2 linked regions of the Rattus norvegicus genome follow. Each later gene encodes a partner of the first gene's protein in a complex. Links are inferred from orthologs where the notes say so. Each region holds a gene or a part of one and is shown on either strand. Other genes may lie near its edges.

Region 1 (6,479 bases):
TCCAAGTCAGATTAAAGTAGTCATAAATACAGGTTTATTGGGAAACTACTCTTGGGCGGGCACATTCACTGGCCCAAGAAACAAGGCCAGGGAAGGTGCTCTGGGGAGGGAGATTGGGGAGGGAGAAGAGGGAGAAAGAGTGCACACAGGGAGAGAAGAGAGAAGGAAAGGGGGAGGGGAGACCAAAATGTCTGGATTATATAGGGAAGAGCTTCTGGGCTGGAAAGTTCAGGGTAGAGGGCAGGATATGACAGATAGGGACTGAGGGATGCTGGGAGAACCTGAAGGCCAGGCCTGCTTTGGTATGTAAAATATGCACCTCAGCGCCTTGTCCTGAGTCTAAAACCCAGTATCTTACACCTCGATCCACCTTACTTTTCTGACACAGCGTCTCTCACTGTATTTGTTTTCTCTCTCTACAGTCCTGGCTCTCCTGTAGCTTGCTATGTAGAGTAGGCTGGCCTTGAACTCCCAGAGATCCTCCTGTCTCTGCCTTCCGAGTGCTGAGATTATAGGCATATGCCACCAAAGGCCTTCTCACTGGATCTGAAGTTTGCCATTTGGCTAGGCTGGCTGGTTACCAAGCCCAAGATCCTCCTGTCTTTCACACAGCATCAGGAATTACAAGTAGTGCACATGTGAGCCTGGCTTTCCCATGCTGTCGATCCGAAATGTCCTTATGCAAGTAGTTAGCACTTTACCCACAGTGCACCTCTCTAGCCCCAATATGAGTGCTTTAAAAACATTCCTGTGCGCATATAGGTGTTTTCTGTCTGTTTACATGCAGGAATGCCTGTGTGTGGAAACCAGAGGGTGACCTCAGGTATTGTTCCTCTGACATCGAAATAACTGTCTGGGACACACAAATAGCTCTCTGAGGCTCTCCCTCGACACCTTGTCATCCAGCACACAGCAGGCTCACTGCAGTGTGGGGACCCGGGTCAGAGCTTGTTGCTGTCCACACAGAATTCAGGCTGGCCTCAGTGGCTTCTGTGGAAACACAGGGATCTCTGCTGTCACTGTCCTGTGTGCTGACTGACGATAGACACACGGTCTGCTCCACACCCACCTTCAGCTGTCTGATCAAACATTACTTCCTGAGTTAAAGCCCGCTTGAACCATGCTCCAAATTCTCTCCACACAGTGCTTGTCTGTCTACCTGCTCTATCCACTCTGGTTTTCCACATCTCAGCCCCAACACGTTACTAGAAAGGTTAACTGTCTCCAGCCAGGTTTCAAGCTCGAAGAGGCCCTAACTCAAGGGCAGAGGTGCTTACCCAGCATGCAGAAGGCTCTCTCTATTCCTGGAAGTGAAATCTCACCCACAAGCTCTATGCCAGCATGGGCTATTTTGCTCATAGCTGTAATCTCTACAGGCTGCCTACATAGTGCTTGGCCAATAGCTACACAATAAATACTTCCGGCATAATGACTTTCTAAGCGCCACTCCCTTCTCTGAACTCCTGTAATTCCAGTCTGTGTCATTCTTGAGGGACTTACCTGGATGCTTTCTCTGCTGGTGGCTGTCCCTGCAAGCTTTCACTTGACTATGATCATGCTCAGAGGCCTTGGGCACAGTTTGCCTCAGATGAAGTTCTATGACCCCTTCTCATGACCTGATATGACTCTAAACGGGGGTGGGGGGAGCAAGCTGTATAGGGGATTATTATAAGCAAAATGTGCAACTCTAGGTCTCTTGAGTTCCTTCAGATAACAAAACAAAATTTACTCTTTTGAACAGCCAATTTTTGGTTGGGGCTGCGATTCAATGGAAGAGCATTAGCCTAGTATGCCTGAGACTCTATGTTCAATCTTCAGACCTGAAAACAAAGGGATTTCTGAGTCACTATATGGTTCGAGAGAGCGACTCATTAGGGAAGAGGGCTGATTCTCTGCAGATGATGTAAAAAAAAAAAAAGTATATGGAACAGCCAGCATTTATTGAATCCAAATGTTCTAATCATTTTACCCCCTTGCCTTCCTACAACTACTCTGGTAGCTATGAAGTGCGGGCAGGAGATCCTTATGGCTTATCCACCTGTCATCTTTTGGTACCTAAAGGCAGCCCGCCTGGTCGTGATAGCTGGTGTTCAGCAACAGGGGCGGCTGAGCCAGGTCCCCCTGCAGGTTCTCCTCGCTCTTTGGGGGCCGGGCCTCGTCCAGTGCGCCAGTTCCGGGTCCGGGTGGGGCGAGGAGGGCCGGTCCCTTCCTAGTTTCAGCGCCTTCCGCATCCTCTGCTCAGGGGAACCAGTGAACCGCTCCACCCTCAGCTACCCCGCGGCCTGCAGCTGCAAGAAGCGAGGCTGACAGTCAGAGGAGAGACACAAGCAGCCGCTGTGCCCCCGGAACACCGCAGCCCTGGTCGCGCAGGACCGTTGCGCCTGGCCCGCCCCTCCCTCTACAGGACACGCCCACCCGACCGCAGGGTCCGCCCCCGTCCCCGCCTCCCGCGCGGCGCTCCATACTTGGCGATCGCTGCGGCCCCGCACGCTCATTGGTCGCGAGCTGGCGGCTGGGGGGCGGGCCGGGATGGCCGGGGCGGGGAGGAAGGTGGTGGCTGCCCGGCGCGGGGGGGAGGGGGAGGGGGGCGCTGACCCGGATGTTCACTCTTGGGCACCCGGGGAAGTGGAAGCGCCGGGCCCTGCTGCGGGGGGGAGAGCCACAGACGCCGGGACTGGGACCGTCGCCGCCGCCGCCACCATGGTAAAGAGACCCCCTCATGGCTCTATCCCGGGACCCCCTCACTGCGGGAGCTTGCGTCCACTCTCTCGCCGACCCGCCGGCCCGGGGAGGGTGGGGATCCGGGGTGGGGGAGGGGCGGGGTCCGGGACCTTAGGCAGACGCCACTCTTCGGGTCCTGAGTGGGCGGCGGGAGGTCCTTATAGCTTATGACCTCGCCTTGGGCTCCATGTGAAGCCGAGTTCTTCCCCCGCATGTCCAGACTAGTCTCGCTTATCCCAGGCTAGACCTTCCTTCCCTCCAAGCACCCTTCTCGCAGGCCTTCATCCCATGGGCTGAACTTGGGCCCCTGCCTCGGTCCCAGGGCCCAAGCTAGGACCGTGGTTTTCACTCCTGTGGCCCAGTCTAGGCCCCTTTCCCCAAACTCTTCTCTCCATGGCCCCAGCCTGCGCCTCGACGATCCCTTTCCAGTGAACTCAGCCTAGGTTTGTTTCCTCCACCCTGATGGACTCTCCTCTCCGTGGTCCTCAAGTCTGCCCTCTCTATTCCGACTGTGTTCCCCTCCTGCACCTCCCTACCCCCAGCTCCCCCCCACCCCCGGCCCTAGCGGTCCCCTTCCCCCGACTTCTCACGACTTAAACCTAGCCTGCGTCAGCCCTGCGCTGCTCTTACCCTCACCCTCCCATCTAGACCCTGCTTGCTCGGTGTCCTGCTCCTAACCCAGGTGTCCCCTCCCCTGTTCCTAGGAGGCTCTTCCTTGGCAGCCTCTGGTGAGCGGGGGAGAGCCCCAACCAGGGTGGGGGTAGTCCGGGTGCTGTGCCTTTCCTAGGCTTGCCCCTTTCTGGGGAGGCCGCTTAGGTTCGGTGTGAGTGAACAAGCGAGCAAGGGAGAGAAGGGCGGCATCTGTGTGCCCGGAAGGCAGAGCAGGGCATTTCCCTTGGGAGGCCCTAGAGCAGCTAATACAGCGCGTATTTAGGGGTGCCCTGCCTGAGTCGGGGAGCAGAGTGCTGACGGTGGGTAAGCCAAGTGGACAGGGGTGAACTCACAATCGCTCTTGTGAGGCCACAGCCTTGGGGCTGGGGGACACCAAGCTCAGCAGCCCATCCTTCAGCCTGGACATGATGCATCCTAGCAGGCGCAGCCTTCCTTTCCCCCTGAACTGTCAGCTTGTAAGGGTTGGAACTGCTGATTATGGAGGTGCCGCTGATCAGGTGAGCGGCCCGAGAACTACCTCACTCTACTCATGGTGTTTGTTTTGGTAATGAAGTCAGGCCTCTATGCTCATAACTTATTTGAGGAGCCCTAGGTGTGTCGTTCCCCCCCTCCCCCATATCCCTGCACCCCCTAATCCATCTGGATACCTGCAGAGCAGGCCCACCTTCTAGGTGGAAGGGCCAGAGAGCTACCTCACGTGGTCAAGGAAGCCTTGTAAGGTAGACTGAGAGGGAAGGCCATCCACCTGCTTCATGCAGAACATCACAGCCTTGCGGAGGGCTCCCCTCCAGTAGGAGTGGATTTTGGACCCTAGATGGTTTTGAGGAGCCCTGTTCCTTGTTTAATTCAGGGTGCAGCCATTGAGTTGGGGGTGACTAAATCTGATTGGCTAATAAACTTTCTATATATCGATTTAAAAGCATAGGCAAAGACTGTTTTTCATACTGTTGCTCTTGGCTGAAAACTGGCCTGGGAGTCTGAAACCCTGATCTTAGTCTGCACGGGGAAGGACTTGTCCAGGACAGTTTTGGGTGAGATTCTTCAAAGTAGACTGAAGTTTTCTATGTGTGCCCCCAGCACGGAAATAGGAGAGGGTGCCAGGAGAGGGTGACCAGATGGGACTTAGTCCCCCAGAGTCCTCTAGGCCTTTGCTTTCTCCGTTTGACAGGGTAAAGAAAAGCTGGAGCATTCATTGTAACTGACTCAAAATGTTGTTCAGTCTGTGCGAGACTCTTGGGCAGTGAAAGCATGCCCAGCAAGCAGCCTCCAGGCAGCCATCTTCCTTGTATGCTGTGTATATCTGATATAATGACACTCTGCAAGAACCATAATGACGGGATGCTTGGGCACGGCCGCGGAGGGCAAGCACTCATCCCTGCAAACTGTGGGTGGATCCCCTGTTAGGAGACCGCCATTGGGAGACAGTAGTATAGCCTGTGCACCTGATCCCGGCTCTCTGGGGACAGAGATTGTGGCCTTGTGTTTTCTGTCCCTGTCTATCTGGTCCTAGAACAGTGCCTAGCTCTGAGCCATTTGACTGGGGAGGCTGGGCCTGGCGCCACATACCTGTAATCTCAGCTGTTTAAGGCATTCAAGGCCATCTCGGGCAACACTGAGAGTGAGACCCTGTTTCAGTGAAAACCAGGAGATTGCTTGGTGTGATCTGGGATGTGTCTATGAGCGCAGCCACTCGGAGGTTGACACTCCTTCTCATGAACTTGTTTTTCAAGTATCCTAGTCCCCTGAGTGGTTTCTGACTGCCTTATAGTCAGGTTCATACTATGCTAGAACAGTCCGATGCCTTGGTGTGGGTAGTTTGGACAAACCAGAAGTGGTGGAATGGGGCTGCATCGTAGATAATGAAGACAACCATGGGTTGGTTTGCAGCGGGCTTGGTGGTAGAGCAAGTGGCTAGCCAGCTCCAGGGTGCCCACTGAGGGGAGAGACTTTAAATGCATTTGACTTGGAGTGGAGTCCACGGTTGTTCTTGGAGACAAGTCCACTGTCCCGATAAGAGTGCATAGGCAAATGGGGTTTATTTACATCCCCTCAGCAGGCAGTCTTACGACTGTCCCTAAGTGCTTTACAGTGTCAACGCACCACAGAGCTCTGGCTTCTGACTTTGAGGTTATTATTCTGAGCATTAAGATGCTGGTGCTCAGTGGTGGGGCTGGGACAGTGAGAGGCCAAGGAGGCTCCTTAGGACCTGTTGCTCACAGATGGCACTGATGACAAGAGCTGGTAGGAGAGGTCCTATTGTTAAAAGGGGAAATGGAGTAGACTGCAATGTATCTTGGTGGGCTCCTCCTGTGAATAAGATCCGGAGAGATGCTCAGGGGTTAAAGGTGACTGCTGCCAAGCTAGGGGAGCAGAGTTCAATTCCTAGAACCCATATGTAGAACCAAGTCTTCCTCTAACCAGCATACTCACAGAGTCCTGTCTCCCTTCCCCCAATAAGTAAATAAATAAGCAAACAGTATAACTTTAAACAACTTCCTGTGTAGTTGGACTTAGAGACCTTGTGTATGCTTGTTCTGTTCAAGTAAACGCAGCCAGTCTCCTTTTGATAAGTAGCCCGTGATTATTAGTTTAAGATTGGGAAAATGACAGACGTGCCTTTGAAGGTAGATCTATTTATAATTTGGAAGTGCTATACTGTTACATTCTATGGAGGAGGAGGGAGGACACAGGGCAAGGGCCCTGACAGCTCAGAGCCTTGCTTGCCAGAGCGGGAAGTGCTTATTGTAGAGCACTTACTAGGCACCGATCTGGAGCTGTAGGCATCACTGCTTAGATGTGTGCATCATGAGCTGCTGTGTGCTGAGGAGTAGCAGAGAGCAAGGCAGACACGATGTGGGCCTCTGGCTTCCACTGTTAGGGAGCCTACAACAGAGCTTGGAAAGTCAGGCAGTGTCACACTCCTATGACTCTGGCTACTCAGAAGTTCAGGTCCAACCTGAGCAACAGGGTGGGAGAGACACCTTGTCACTCTCCCCTAATGATAAGGGGGACAGTATTTACTGTCAGTGCCAGGGTCATAAGCATGCACTGTAGAGGAAATGGAAGGGGACATTGTGGCCTGAGCT
Region 2 (5,154 bases), on another chromosome or scaffold:
GACCAATATGAAACCCAAAGCATAGCTGAAACTCGCCCTGAGCTCTTCCTCTGCCCCCTCAGGCCCCCAAACGCTAGGATTACGAGTGTAGTATTCGGTCACAACACCTTTTGTGCCCGCCTCCATTACTCTGTTCATTGGAGCTTTTTACTTCTCCCATGCCATCAAGATGAAGTACGACCTTTCACTTTTTACATTTAATCCCAGTTCAGACAGTCCTAATGTTGACCTTTATCCCAGATCTGGTGTGACCATTTCTATATACTCTGGAAATTGTTCCAAGCCAATAACCTGGCATTATTTCAAACTGTAACAGCCATTAGTTTATTCTGTTTTTTTTCTGCATGTATTTTCCAACACTGACTTAGGTTCATGTATCTGAGGGCATATGTGCGCCATGTACTTCAGGGAGCTGGAATAGGTCAGACCAGGCACTGGGTTCTTTAGAGCTAGAGTCACAGGCAGTTGTGAGGTACCAAGTGCATGCTGGGAACTACACACAGGGCCTCTATAAGAGGAGTCAGTGCTCCTAACCAGTGGGTCATCTCTCCGGCTCCATGTGTATTTTCTCAAGTACTGAAGTATCTACTAATGTCTACTTACACTGCCATAAACTATAGAGAGGAACAAGTGGGGAGAGGGTGTCATCTCACCTTAAAAATACGTTTCACATGAGCAAAATGGCATGGGAAATCAAGTTTCTCGAGCAGTTTGTGAGTAATTCCAGCGCTGATTTTTCCACCTCTAAAATAATCCTGAATCTTTGACATAAACCATGTACGAAGCACAGAGAGTTAAGGAAATTCTCAAAGTCACTCACTGAGGGATTTAAAAATCCTTAAAGAAATATTTTGTCCGTGGCCTTAATGGTTCATCTACCCTATGCTCAGACAGTTGTAAATAAATACTATTTATGATAAAGTATAGTTTAGCTTTTTCAACTACAGGAAAGGTGTGAGAGATATAAAAAGGCATAACCCAGTTAAAATACAGGATAGCATCTGTTTTTTAAAAAAATGGAGAAATAAAGTCAGCACTTGGGAAATTCATTATTCCATTATTATACACTATTTGTCTGAAAGTCTGATCCTGAGAGCTCATGGACTCCGAGATTCTCTCACCCACCTGACCTCTCTCATCAAGAAAGATGAGAAAATCAACACTTAATCTTACAGAAGTCAGAGCATTGGATACATTCATAAAACATTATTAAACATAGGTTACTGTGCGTTCAGTAGTGACTCTGACTGGTGTAATTACTATGCGAGTCAAATGTCCTACGGGTGATAGTTGCTCCAATTTCCGCTCAATCTTAAGTTGTTAAAACTAATGAGTAATTCTTAACCTTAATGGCTATGGCTCAATATGGAAAATGCATTTTTCTTATCATAACAAGAACAACGGTAAAATACAGTAGTCTAAGGAAACCCAGAAAGGCTTAGGACTGTGAAAACAAGCAGAAGGTTCATACTTAAATGGCAGACATGAGTTCAGGACTCTGTGAAAAGAGGGAGAGTCACATGAAGAGAAAGGAACAAAGCAAGGGGGGAAACAAGACAGAGAGACCTTCAGAATGGATATCTTGCTTCTGCGAGCTCATAATGGCTCTCCATGATTTCATGATCTGGGTCGCGTGTCCTCCCATAGAGGGCTCTTCGTCTAAGGTGTCACTTAATCTTAGAAGTAACTCTGCCTTTTTACGATAGTCATCAGCTGTTCTCACCGCTGCCTCCTTTCTAGGGAAAAGGCAGAGAACACACAGCCTGTTGCCTTTGCTCTTGCAGATCTGCCTGTGCTCAAAGCAGACACACATAACACAAAAAGAGGGCATGGGGAACATGAAAGATGTGGTCCCTGCCTAAAATACTTGACTGCTTATGTTCTGAGAGTTTCTAATCCCACATTTTCAATAAACTCTGTGTGTGTGTGTGTGTGTGTGTGTGTGTGTGTGTGTGTGTGTGTGTGTGTGCCCTTTTTGTAATGGTGCATTGAGGTCAGAGAACAATTTATAGGAGTCCTGTCTCTCCTATCATCATCTGGGTCCTGGGAACCAAACTATGGTTGTCAAGCTTGGTGATTTCTCAGCCTTCATAGTATCTTCATTTTATTTTGTTTCTAACCCTCAAGCCTTTCATCACAATGTTTACCCTGAAGGTGGGGCAGCTATTCTAAGGGCCTGAGTGGAGATCAGTACCATATGACAGTTGAAGAGACCACAGACTATCCAACGCTAAGTCAGTTCAAACCCCAGGCAACTTCTGCAGACTGCCAACAACACGTAACAGACACAGAAAAACACATACCGCTTATGAAGAAGACTTGTCCAGAAGCTAAGTTCTTAAAACCTTCACAGTTGCTATAGCTTCTTGGCTGAACCCCATACCGTCAGGTGACTATCATTTTCTTCTTTGGTTCTGAGCACTCAATTGTGACATCACTACAAGTTCCATGCTTCTCTGTGACTTCACCAGGATATGCAGAGCTTGACTGACTGCCCTTCTTCATGGTCCTACATACTGCTCTAAAGCTTGAATGATTAACACCTTGAATGGGCAAGATATCCCATGGATCCTCTTCTCACCCTGTGAACACCCTTCACTTCAGAAGCTTTGCTTCTCCTGAAACTAGACATGTCACTCAGCGTCTTAAGTAGGCAAGACAAAGAAAAGGTCATCCACAGACTCTTAATCCAGGCTCCTCCTGGGGAATTCGTGAATGCCTTTGATGATCTCTGTCTGCTTATCCGAGATGAGAAGCTCATGCACCACCAGGGTGAGTGCGCAGGTCATCAGCACTGCCAAAAATACTGTGTCCCACTCTGCATCGATGGCAATCCAGTCCTCTTGTCTCACCACAATGTGATGGGTGACTTCCGGTTCTTTGACTACCAGAGCAAACTTTCTTTCAGGTTTGACCTGCTCCAGAATCAGCTGAGAGACATCCAAAGCCACGGAATCATTCGGAATGAGACCGAGTACCTGAGATCTGTTGTTATGTGTGCCTTAAAACTCTACGTGAACGATCACTACCCAAACGGCAACTGCAACGTGCTGAGGAAAACAGTCAAAAACAAGGAGTTCTTAATAGCTTGCATTGAAGACCACAGCTATGACAATGGAGAGTGTTGGAATGGTCTTTGGAAGTCTAAGTGGATCTTCCAGGTAAACCCGTTTCTAACCCAAGTGACAGGAAGGATTTTTGTGCAAGCTCACTACTTCAGATGTGTCAACCTTCATGTTGAAGTCTCCAAGGACCTCAAGGAGAGCTTGGAGGTGGTCAACCAAGCCCAGTTGGCTCTCAGTTTCGCAAGGCTTGTGGAAGAACAAGAAAATAAGTTTCAAGCTGCTGTAATAGAAGAACTACAGGAGTTGTCTAATGAAGCCCTGAGGAAAATATTACGGAGGGATCTTCCAGTGACACGCACTTTGATTGACTGGCAACGGATCCTCTCTGACTTGAATCTGGTGATGTACCCCAAATTAGGATACGTTATTTACTCCAGGAGTGTGCTGTGCAACTGGATAATATAAAAGGTTGCTGCTCCACATTATCGTCTCAAGCCAAAGTGCTTTCTGGGAAGTCAGTGCTTAGATAGTGCTGAGAAGCTCTTGGACTAGTACTAAGCCTGTCTTTAGCCTATACCAGTTTGAAGAGGGGGAAGAACAAGAAATCATGTTATCCAGTCAGTATTCACCAACATGGCAAAAAGGGTAAAAATACATTTCATAATGTTAACTGTCACAACAAACTCAGAGGTTTTTATTAGAGCCTAAAATAATTCGAGAGTGGGGAGGTGGCCGTGATGGAGTCTACATGACTGCTGTGTTTGTGTGCCTGTGTGTAGTGGTGTGTGTGTTGGGGGGTTGTACTCTGTGTGTCTCTCTGCACCTGTATGCCTGCGTCTCTGCGTGTGTGTGAATTCAGTCTCTCTTTGGAACTGGGTAGGTGTGCACATCACTCTTCAAATGTTACTTCACTTTACTCTATTCAGTTTGAGAACAACCAGGATTGAATGAACCTTAATAAATGACATTGGGTTTGGATATTCTATGAAAACCAGCTAATACCAAATCTCTCAGTCATGGTACTAGAGAGGTGACGCAGTAGTTAAGAGCACTGGCTATCCAACCATAGGAGGTAGGTTTAATTCTCAGCACCCACACAGTCCCAGAGCTCACAGGGTTATAGAGAACACAGCACTGACTACACATACAAGCAAAACACTTAGACACATATAATAAAAATGAGGAGGATTAGTAAAATTGCTTCTACCTCCTTTCTGATCCCTCCTGTGCCCCTCCTAAGGAGGGTGTGGGATTGTGAATCTCTGGGCTTCTAGAATAGCAGGATCTAGAAACCCTGTGTAGCTGAGTCAATGTAAAGTCATCCCTACAAACCTGTGTAATGCTTGCTTCGTTGCAAACTTCATACTAATGTTTTACAAACAATACTTTATCATCTGCCTGGTTCTAGCATTATTCCCTTTGTACATTAAAAATATAAGAGGTCTCAAGTTGCTCAATCATCAAGACATAAAACATCTTGATGTGCTCAGGCTGCTACAGTAAAATACTGTGAAGTGTGTGTCTGGGAGATGGCATGTTGTAAAGTCCCCTGCTACCATTTCTAAACTTGAGCTCCATCAAGAACACACATGGTGGGAAAAAATCGACACCCACAAGTTGTCCTGTGACCCCCAGAAATCCCCCTGCCCCAAACTCCATTCACACAACATGAAATAAATAAAATAAAATAAACCAATATTACCATTAAATGAGTAGCTGATACTAAAACATTAGCGCTCACCAGTCTGACCCTGGAACATCCAAGACCGAGATGCAAGCTGAGACAATATTTGCTTCCCCATGGGCAATGTTCCTTTTTACACAGCACACCTTGAAAGTAAGCAAAGCAGTTCTCCAGAATCTCTTTTATAAGTTTGCTACTCCCGCTCATAAAAGCTATACACTCATGACCCCCTGGAGACCTCTGAGGCCACCAGCTTAGGGACAACATTTCAGATTAGCATGTACAGTGGCTGCTGCAGATGATTAAAGGACATACTCTATACACCATCTATCTGGATGATTTGAAGATGGGATGAGATGATCCCATCATATGGCAAAGGGCCAGTTTTAAATACTTAGTTTTCAA

Evidence for each region. The genes of interacting proteins can lie anywhere in the genome.
Region 2: Capzb (region 1) and Capza3 share a complex: the UniProt entries of both Homo sapiens proteins name them as parts of the WASH complex. The link is inferred for Rattus norvegicus from reciprocal best matches to the Homo sapiens genes CAPZB and CAPZA3.

What each region holds. Positions count from the first base shown.
Region 1 is NC_086023.1:156,716,303-156,722,781, forward strand, and holds the start of Capzb (F-actin-capping protein subunit beta), read left to right. Parts: upstream 1-2,700; coding exon 2,701-2,703; intron 2,704-2,759; exon of another isoform or gene 2,760-3,797; coding exon of another isoform or gene 3,798-3,890; intron 3,891-6,479. UniProt on the Homo sapiens protein: F-actin-capping proteins bind in a Ca(2+)-independent manner to the fast growing ends of actin filaments (barbed end) thereby blocking the exchange of subunits at these ends.
Region 2 is NC_086022.1:174,657,919-174,663,072, forward strand, and holds Capza3 (F-actin-capping protein subunit alpha-3), read left to right. Parts: upstream 1-2,527; 5' UTR 2,528-2,630; coding exon 2,631-3,530; 3' UTR 3,531-3,741; downstream 3,742-5,154. Other genes in the region: Plcz1 (1-phosphatidylinositol 4,5-bisphosphate phosphodiesterase zeta-1), read right to left, coding at 654-777, 1,582-1,613. UniProt on the Homo sapiens protein: F-actin-capping proteins bind in a Ca(2+)-independent manner to the fast growing ends of actin filaments (barbed end) thereby blocking the exchange of subunits at these ends.